Arabidopsis thaliana: one gene and its partner. The protein of the gene in region 2 interacts with the protein of the main gene of each other region in a biochemical or structural test. Each region holds a gene or a part of one and is shown on either strand. Other genes may lie near its edges.

Region 1 (6,894 bases), on a different chromosome or scaffold from region 2:
TACTAGCCGTCCATCTACAATACAAAAATATGTTATAGCCTACAATAAATGATAGTATGAAAAATTAAATAGCACTATGATATTTTGAGGCGGTGGAGTTTCTATTGATTGGTTATCGATGACCACTTGCATCGTCAAATGGTTCTTTGATTCGTGGTTTCGGCCCCAGCTTCATACTATCACGAGACTCGACCATCTTGTTTTTTTCTTCTTCTTCTTGGTAAATGGTTTCACAACTTGGTTCCTCTTTCTTTCATTTTATTTTATATACTATCATAGCATTTTGGTTGGATTTCTCGAGATAGTATATTTTTTAGTTACTATCATTACATAAGTATATTTTAAAAAACTAATTATATGAATTATGTAGCTAACTAGATAGATAATCGTATAACCAATTCATGTTAGTATAGTATAGTTTAAGTATGTATTTTGGGATTACAAGTGTGGTTGGCATCAAGACAAGGATGGTGATAGCCTTTCTCTGTAATTTGGTTTAAGAAAAGTTTTTGCATTTTATGTATAAACGTGTTTTTTTTTTATAATTTAAAATTTCAACAAAAAACAATTTTTTTTAATAATGATTGACCACTATAGACAATTTAAATGATAAAAAAAACCCCCAATTTTTCACAATGTTTTGGAGATTAGTCTAGATTTTTTGTCCAAATTTTCCGATTGTAAGAATTAAGAAGCAATGAACATTTGTGTTAAGCTTAATGATTTGTACTCACAATATCTTTTAAATTTAAAATTGTTAACCAAAATATCCTATATATTGTACTTGTAATAGAAATATAAACTATTAAAAACAACACTTTATTCATATAATATAAGTTAAAACATATGTTTTTTTTAGTATGTTCTAATCACACCTATTAAAAAAAGTTGAAGCTAAATGAGCCAAAAAGAAAAATAAAGATAGGGGATGGGGACAGGCTGTAATGTTAGGCGGTTGGTATATGAACTGAGAACATGTCTGTTGGTTCGGTCCATCTACACCACTCAACCATTTGGCTATGTTTTCTTTTTGGCTTTTGCATGTTCTCTCTACTTTTCTTCTTTGGTCAAAATCTCTATCTCGTCTTTTACATGGCTTACCCGAATGTTAGTTGTCATGTAAATTTGGTTATGAAAAGATATTTTATATAAACTTTATCGTATATTAATATCGTTATCATCTAACCATTTTTTAAAACTAAACTAGAACCATCCAGTTTTACAAGAGTTTTTTTTTTTTTTTTTCTAACTAAATAATATTTGAAGTGTACAATATTAACAATATATGGGCCAAATAATAGTGGAAACCAAATCGTTAGTCCCACTTTATGATGGGCCTGTTGATTCTTATGTCTTCTTCGTAAGTTGTGATTATGCAGATTACGGGCTAATAAACATGCATGTTTAGTTTTTACTGTCCAAGTAACGAAATTTTATCTTTTGGGTTGTTGGCCCATTTCATATATTCCAAATGCCAAATCCAGCCCGGCTCGACACAGCACTGCTCGGCTCAACACTCGTATGCGGTTGGTAGCCACTTAAGACCTTGGTTTGATTAACATGTTACGAATAATTTGTGTCCCTTTTTCTTCAAGGAGACTAATCTCTTTTAATAAAAAAGAATTGTGTCATTAGTCAACACAAGTCCTATAATCCGTTTACGGTAATTTGTATGCACGTCCTTGGAAAAGTGAGTAGTGGCGTAGCATTACAGCCAAAAACTATTTGTATATTTTTCTTTTCGTTAAACAACCAGCAAAATTTTCAGAAAAATGTTCTTAAATTATAAATTAGTAGTACATTTTAAAACATAGAGATTTTTTGTTTCTTTTAATAGAAGAGTTAAACCTATGTACAAAATTTCAACTCCTTTTCAAAGTATTTGCCTGTTACTAGATTTTTAACCTTTTTTTTTTTATCTTTCATGATTTTCTATTGCTTGCCATCATCAATGGTAGGAAATAAATACTATTTTAAAAAGGTCAGGGGTGGATTTAAGAATCAATCCAAAAGTTTGGGGTCTTTTGGAGATTAAAAAGTTATATGGGAAATATCCACAAATATGAACGAGAACTTTTGTCAAAAAAATTTAAAATAATTTTTCAAAAAGCCCTAAAGCTTTCAAGGGAAGCCATCGATGAAGAAGAAAACGAAGAAGAAGACTCTTCAAATGCTCGCGCGAACTCACTTCTGACGAAAACCATACTTCCTCAGTCTCATTCCCTTTCCGACGAACTATTCTCCTGAAGAAGAAGACGAAAATGGCGAACAAGCTCAAAGTCGACGAACTCCGTTTAAAACTCGCCGAGCGTGGACTCAGTACTACTGGAGTCAAAGCCGTTCTGGTATTTCTCTGAATTGCATTGAAATACTCTTTCTATTTTGTTGATATTCGAATTTGTTTATTGGGTGTTTCGTGTAGGTGGAGAGGCTTGAAGAGGCTATCGCAGAAGACACTAAGAAGGAAGAATCAAAGAGCAAGAGGAAAAGAAATTCTTCTAATGATACTTATGAATCGAACAAATTGATTGCAATTGGCGAATTTCGTGGGATGATTGTGAAGGAATTGCGTGAGGAAGCTATTAAGAGAGGCTTAGATACAACAGGAACCAAAAAGGATCTTCTTGAGAGGCTTTGCAATGATGCTAATAACGTTTCCAATGCACCAGTCAAATCCAGTAATGGTTTGTTCAATTCTCTGGACTATTGAGAAATTTGGTAAAAATTGAGTCTTTTTAATGTTGTTATTGTCATTGTGTATTAAGGGACAGATGAAGCTGAAGATGACAACAATGGCTTTGAAGAAGAAAAGAAAGAAGAGAAAATCGTAACCGCGACAAAGAAGGGTGCAGCGGTGTTAGATCAGTGGATTCCTGATGAGATAAAGAGTCAGTACCATGTTCTACAAAGGGTGAGGATTTGGAACCTAATCTTGAGTTTTTGCATCTTATCGTGTTCATGAATGTTGTTAGAAACTGTTTCTTTTTTTGTTGAATGTTGTAGGGTGATGATGTTTATGATGCTATCTTAAATCAGACAAATGTCAGGGATAATAATAACAAGTTCTTTGTCCTACAAGTCCTAGGTCAGTCTTCCAAAACCTTCAACAATAATTTCCCTGGTTACTTTCCAAGATTAATGAGACGATACTTGTCTTGTTCGAGTACTGGAAACCTCTTGAAGCAGCTTTTGATGACTCTTTGTCATTCTTCTTGGTTCCAGATACTATCATCATTGATCTATCTTATCTATTGTGCATTGTGCAGAGTCGGATAGTAAAAAGACATACATGGTTTACACCAGATGGGGAAGAGTTGGTGTGAAAGGACAAAGTAAGCTAGATGGGCCTTATGACTCATGGGATCGTGCGATAGAGATATTTACCAATAAGTTCAATGACAAGACAAAGAATTATTGGTCTGACAGAAAGGAGTTTATCCCACATCCCAAGTCCTATACATGGCTCGAAATGGATTACGGAAAAGAGGAAAATGATTCACCGGTGAGTGTTTTGGAATCCTCACTTCTCTTTCTCTTCTTACTATTTGTTGTGTGGTATGATCCAAGGGATCTGCTGGAATGAGGTTTTTGAGTGCATATCTACTTTTCTTTTTCCCGTTTAATTGCAATTATATATTTTTTTTCTCTTCGTTCAAATGTGCACTTTACTCAGAGTTCACGATTGTTTTTTTTCTCAGGTCAATAATGATATTCCGAGTTCATCTTCCGAAGTTAAACCTGAACAATCAAAACTAGATACTCGGGTTGCCAAGTTCATCTCTCTTATATGTAATGTCAGCATGATGGCACAGCATATGATGGAAATAGGTTTGAGTCTAACTTTGATCACTTCATTCAAGTGAGAGCATCCATTGGCAGATTAACAGTGATTTTTATATGTCGATACATTATCTCTTTGTTTTGGTGTCCTATTACCTGCGTTTGTACTTCCTATCTTTTGTCCTATCCATTTGTTTGCCATTTTGCTGGTTTCTTTACTTCTTGCTGATTTTTCATACATCTTCTAAATTTGGAATTGAAGGATATAACGCTAACAAATTGCCACTCGGCAAGATAAGCAAGTCCACAATTTCAAAGGTAAAGATAGTAAACAGTCTGTTTGGTCTCATTTCCGTAAATTATAGTTTGGTGTGATTTCAGATGATATAATCTCCTCTTCCACATGTCTAGGGTTATGAAGTGCTGAAGAGAATATCGGAGGTGATTGATCGGTATGATAGAACGAGGCTTGAGGAACTGAGTGGGTATGTATCTGGTTAATTGCTAGACAATTTTTCGCATTTAGTTGATTATGTAACTGTTTCCCATAAAGAAATTAGATTTGAACTAGTCTAACTTTGTTTATCATTGATGCAGAGAGTTCTACACAGTGATACCTCATGATTTTGGTTTTAAGAAAATGAGTAAGTTCATCTGTGCTAAGGTTTACGATATATATAACTAAACATTCACTAACATCTGAATTCCGAGCTGTAACAGGCCAGTTTGTTATAGACACTCCTCAAAAGTTGAAACAGAAAATTGAAATGGTAATTTTTCCTACTGTTTCCTTACTTGACTAGTTTTGGTCTTCAGAAAAGCAATGGTTTGTCGCTACATGTTTTGTGTAGTTTTTAATATATCGTTTTTTTGTAAGGTTGAAGCATTAGGTGAGATTGAACTCGCAACAAAGTTGTTGTCCGTCGACCCGGGATTGCAGGTAATTCAGTCAGTCTATGTGGTTTGAAGGCATGAAATCACTCCGTCGTATAGTTCTCTAAGAATATGACATTATTTTTTGCAATGGCTGTAGGATGATCCTTTATATTATCACTACCAGCAACTTAATTGTGGTTTGACGCCAGTAGGAAATGATTCAGAGGAGTTCTCTATGGTAAATTTTCGGTTTTGTGAACTTTGAACAAATATCTTTGATACTCGAGCATCTCAAACATGTCTGTGTTTTAAACCTTTTGGTGTTTACTCCTTAAAACCAAAATCAGGTTGCTAATTACATGGAGAACACTCATGCAAAGACGCATTCGGGATATACGGTTGAGATTGCTCAACTATTTAGAGCTTCGAGAGCTGTTGAAGCTGATCGATTCCAACAGGTATGTTATGGTATTTCGAGCTTGTCAGTACCATACACATTATTCTGATTTCTCGTTTTTGGCATTGTGAGACTTTAATTTTTCTTGGCAGTTTTCAAGTTCGAAGAACAGGATGCTACTCTGGCACGGTTCACGTCTCACTAACTGGGCTGGTATTTTATCTCAAGGTAACATGTTACTCTTTTTCCTCTTAGTAACTACTTTTTTTCTTCTCCTCTTGGGGGATTTTCAATTGCATAGTAAAATGAACAACTATGAGACACCAAGCAGGTCTGCGAATAGCTCCTCCTGAAGCGCCTGTAACTGGTTACATGTTTGGAAAAGGGGTTTACTTTGCGGATATGTTCTCCAAGAGTGCGAACTATTGCTATGCCAACACTGGCGCTAATGATGGCGTTCTGCTCCTCTGCGAGGTATACTCGCTTCTTGTCTCTATTCATATAGAAAACAACAAAACTACTGTATAACTACAGGACCTCTATAGCCATTCAACATAACTATCCTTATGTTTCCTAACGATAAAAACTTCTCTAGGTTGCTTTGGGAGACATGAATGAACTTCTGTATTCAGATTATAACGCGGATAATCTACCCCCGGGAAAGCTAAGGTATGAAGATAATCTCATTCATATTTCACACAAGTTCCTTATCTCAAACCGCAATGAATTATGATTTACTATTTTTGTACTGTACCTTGATTTGTTATTTGATGGTTGCAGCACAAAAGGTGTGGGGAAAACAGCACCAAACCCATCAGAGGCTCAAACACTAGAAGACGGTGTTGTTGTTCCACTTGGCAAACCAGTGGAACGTTCATGCTCCAAGGTTTTTGTTTTTGTCTTGCTTCAACACACATTCACAAAATCTAACTCTCTCAAATTTCATAAACTGACTTTATATAACTTTTGCAGGGGATGTTGTTGTACAACGAATATATAGTCTACAATGTGGAACAAATCAAGATGCGTTATGTGATCCAAGTCAAATTCAACTACAAGCACTAAAACTTATGTATATTAGCTTTTGAACATCAACTAATTATCCAAAAATCAGCGTTTTATTGTATTTCTTTCAAACTCCTTCATCTCTGATTTTGCACGGTTCACTCGTATATTGGTACGCTAAACCGCAAACCATACCCAATTTTATCCGGTTTAGTTGGTATGATTGAGAAATTCTTATTCTCTGAAACTCGATTTTATTAGTATTTAAGCGAAAGAGAAGAAACCCTACGAAAATCTCAATCGGAAACTAAACGGCAAAAAAAAAAAAAAGCAGAGGCAGCCATGGGAGAAAAGAGAAAATCTACTTCGAAAACCCTAGCTAAGAACAAGAAGAGGAAAGGTCCTCATTTGCCTAATTCAATCCTGAAGACTATTGCCAATGAGAAACGTCCTTTGAACTCTGACGAAGATGACGATGAGATCGATTCCGACGATGAAAACGTCGATTTGTATGAGTATGAAGAAGGTGTGCCTGAGGAAGAGTCTAAGAAAAACAATCGCTATGACCGCGTCGATAACTACGACTACGAGCTTCCCGAGGATTTCGAGGTTTTATTCTTTCTCTTCACTAATTCTCCGCCACTGTGTGAAATTGCAAGTTTTGAACTTTAGTGATAAGAAGATAATCTACAGATTTTGGTTTTAGCTCAATTAGGGTTTTTGCTATCGGGATTCTTACGCTATAACAAATTGGTGAATCCAAAATTGAGAGTTTTTAATTGATTGATTGGTAATGAGATAGTAACTTTAGATCTGGTCTTGGCAATTGTTTTGTC
Region 2 (3,477 bases):
ATTTAAGGATTCAAATAATTTTCTCTAGAAAATTCGAATAAATCGGTTTATTGGTTTAAATTTTGAGATATATACTGGTAACTGATTAATTATGTGAAGCCGGTTACACTTTTATTGCTCTTTGTAGTCAATATTTCCAAGTTAATGTTACTTGTTTTCTTGGAGTTTCAACTCTATTTATACTTATAAAACAACTATTGAAATTTCTAATTAAAGCATCCAAAGATGTTAAAGTAAGATAATTAATGTCATAGTTTCACATTTCATTCCATATAAATAATCAAAAGTCTTATTGTTGTTCATCAATCAAAAGCAAATATAACCTTCAGCATATATTTGGCTATACTAAGGTTCTTTTTACTCAATTTCTCATTATGTCTATAAAAAATATGCTTTCACTCCTAGCGGTTCTATGCATCATCGTTTCTGTAAATGCTTAGATGCCTCAGTTTCCGGCTCCATTTCCTTTTTCATTTCTATTCGAACCGATTCCTGGTATGTCAGGATTACCTGACATAACAAAATGTTGGTCATCCGTGATGGATATTCCTGGATGCATTGTAGAGGTTTCTCAATCTATTTTCACTGGAAAATTCGGCAATTTAGGTCCATCTTGTTGTAAAGCATTGTTGGACGCTGAAGTCAATTCCATGCCGAAAATTCCATTCATTCTGTTTTTCCCTCCGATGCTAAAGGAACAATGCTCAAGAATTGTGGGTGCAACTCCTCCTATACCAAAATAGAGTTTTAGCTTAGTTTTAAAAATCTATGATTTTTTTCTTTTCAACTTATTTATTGAAATTGTAGCTTACTCTACATGTTATACTCCAAAAAGAAAAAAACGATGATACAATAATAACATAGTTGTATTTGGGTTCAATACTTACTCATTTTTCAATTATAATGAATAACACCTTGAAACATTAACTCCGTAATTAATTTAGTCTTGCAATTTTTCATAAATTGTTTATATATGTCGTAACACAAAATTTGCGAACGGTTAATAACTTTACTAGATAAAACCTCTCTAAATAGGTAGATGTGAAAAATAAATAAATTTTTGTTTTAATAAATTTTTCAAATGATAATCTATATATATTTTATTTAATATATATTTTCTAAAACCAAATTTCAATCTTACCTTTTCTAAAACCATATTGTTAAAAACTAAAGAAAAAGTTGGACCAAGCAAAGCCTCTCGGTAAATGTGGTAAATAAATAGAACGATATAACTGAGAAGAAGAAAATAAAACAAAATTAAGAAAATAAAAAGATAAACATATTTAAGTTACAATATTTAAAAATATTAAAACACTTCTTTTTAAGAACAAAATGGGGAATTTTATTTATGTTTTGAATAGATCAACAATTATTAATAGAATGAGTTTAGTTTAATATATTAAATATAAAAAATTGAATATATAAACAATTGTTTTATGTATATATTTTTTTTTTGATAGGGTTAAGGATTTTTTTCTATTTTTGTTTTTAAATGTAATAAAATTTGAAACACATGTAAATATCGTATTAGTAAATACCGACCAAAAAAAATATTGTATTAGTAAATTTGACACATATCGCAATTTTTGTGAGCTAACAATTTTAAAAATCAAATAAGATGACGAACAAAGCTCTGGTTTAAACTTTCTCCCATCAATTTTTTCATTAAACCAAATTTAACCAATTATTTGGCCTAATAACTGCGTCTACGTTATTAAGAATAAGAACTTATTTTGTGTTTCAGTAGAAAACACACTCGTTCACAAAATGCCTAGTAAGAGTAAAGGACGATCACCGCCACCAAGTGTGTTTCTCGGATAAACACATGGAATCCAGCCATTACTTAAACGACACGTGTACGCTCATGATTTATTAATGCACACGTAATCGATCCTCTGACAAAAACCATAACGAATACAGAAAACACACGAATACACTTCCCTGCGCTATAAATAAGCTAGCACGAAAAAATTTAACAGATAGAGACAAGACAAGCAAAGCAACACTTTCACTAATCCTCTAATGGCAGAAGACAAGATCTTAAAGAAGACTCCGGCGGCGAAGAAGCCGCGAAAACCGAAAACCACCACTCATCCTCCATACTTTCAGGTGAGGTTCTAACTTTTTCTTTTGAGTTCCTATCTATTAAACTTAGTTTTTTCGTTTTGGTTTTTGATGAAGATGATAAAAGAGGCTTTGATGGTCCTGAAAGAGAAGAACGGATCAAGCCCTTATGCTATAGCTAAGAAGATAGAGGAGAAACACAAGTCTTTACTTCCAGAGAGTTTCCGTAAAACACTTTCTCTACAGCTTAAAAACTCTGTTGCTAAAGGTAAGCTCGTGAAGATCAGAGCCTCTTACAAGCTCTCAGATACCACCAAGATGATAACGAGGCAGCAGGACAAGAAGAATAAGAAGAATATGAAGCAAGAAGATAAAGAGATCACAAAGAGGACTAGGTCTTCTTCGACAAGGCCTAAGAAGACTGTGTCTGTGAACAAACAAGAAAAGAAGAGGAAAGTGAAGAAGGCGAGACAGCCTAAGTCTATCAAATCTTCAGTTGGTAAGAAGAAGGCCATGAAAGCTTCCGCTGCTTGATCACTGAGGAGGAGGAGAAGAAGATGGAACTGTGTGTGAATATGAAGAATAAGGTTTTTTGTTGTCTCTGTAAATGGATGATGACTTTGTTTTGGTTTGGTGTGGTCTCTTTTGGGTGTAAGAGTAAAGAGTCTTCGGATGTATAACCAGTACTACCATGTAATATACTCTAAATAGATAGATTTTTACTTGGGTTGATATCTATTATTTGTTCAAAGAATCGAAGAAACGAAGGCGAAACAAATTCGAGTAATTATTTCTAGTTGGGGGTTGGTTAACTAAATGCTAATTATGTATTTTATCTAAGTCGTTGAATTGAAAAGAAAAAACGCCTAATACTTATGTATGACTAAGATGGGGCCTAAAGACTTTTGAAACGGCCCAAGTTAGTGATTACACGGAGCCCATACAGATGTTTTAACAAAACATATTGGTTCATATGTAATCGTTAGTACAAACACTACAACTCTTCGCGTGTAAACCAACATCTCTATATGGTTTAGTAATGAATACAAAAATAGATACTTTTCAGTTTTATTCATTTGAGCTAAGAGAGTAAAAAATTCTATGTATTTGGTTTGCTTGGAGCTATAAAGTTTATCATGATGTCTTTGAGTTCAAAATATTTGTGACATTCAACTAGATTATCAATGTTTCGTAAGCCAGTACCTAAAAGTAGCGAATACAATTAGACACAGTTGTAAACGATCCGTTACTTAGGTAGTCGAAATATGCACAGTTAGATAACGGTTTCAGTCTTTGTAACTTACCTTGAGGATCAAACAGCGCTCCTCCTTAGAGCATCATTAGCTCCTCCTTTCGGTCAATCAACATCTTCTCAAGACCAATGCCTTTGAAATATAGTGCCTACCAATGCAT

The links. Proteins that work in one complex are often made in the same cells at the same time.
Region 1: of the proteins of HIS1-3 (region 2) and PARP2, one has a biochemical effect on the other in vitro, tested with the Arabidopsis thaliana proteins (one study listed by BioGRID).

Annotation. Positions count from the first base shown.
Region 1 is NC_003075.7:1,047,843-1,054,736, forward strand, and holds PARP2 (poly(ADP-ribose) polymerase), read left to right. Parts: upstream 1-1,923; 5' UTR 1,924-2,261; coding exon 2,262-2,345; exon of another isoform or gene 2,346-2,422; coding exon 2,423-2,684; intron 2,685-2,765; coding exon 2,766-2,911; intron 2,912-3,003; coding exon 3,004-3,085; intron 3,086-3,266; coding exon 3,267-3,502; intron 3,503-3,698; coding exon 3,699-3,828; intron 3,829-4,042; coding exon 4,043-4,098; intron 4,099-4,191; coding exon 4,192-4,265; intron 4,266-4,377; coding exon 4,378-4,424; intron 4,425-4,500; coding exon 4,501-4,550; intron 4,551-4,657; coding exon 4,658-4,720; intron 4,721-4,813; coding exon 4,814-4,894; intron 4,895-5,003; coding exon 5,004-5,114; intron 5,115-5,205; coding exon 5,206-5,281; intron 5,282-5,384; coding exon 5,385-5,527; intron 5,528-5,648; coding exon 5,649-5,722; intron 5,723-5,833; coding exon 5,834-5,939; intron 5,940-6,025; coding exon 6,026-6,118; 3' UTR 6,119-6,344; downstream 6,345-6,894. Other genes in the region: AT4G02400 (U3 ribonucleoprotein (Utp) family protein), read left to right, coding at 6,401-6,667. UniProt on the Arabidopsis thaliana protein: Involved in the base excision repair (BER) pathway, by catalyzing the poly(ADP-ribosyl)ation of a limited number of acceptor proteins involved in chromatin architecture and in DNA metabolism.
Region 2 is NC_003071.7:7,844,073-7,847,549, forward strand, and holds HIS1-3 (histone H1-3), read left to right. Parts: upstream 1-1,926; 5' UTR 1,927-2,022; coding exon 2,023-2,109; intron 2,110-2,181; coding exon 2,182-2,598; 3' UTR 2,599-2,959; downstream 2,960-3,477.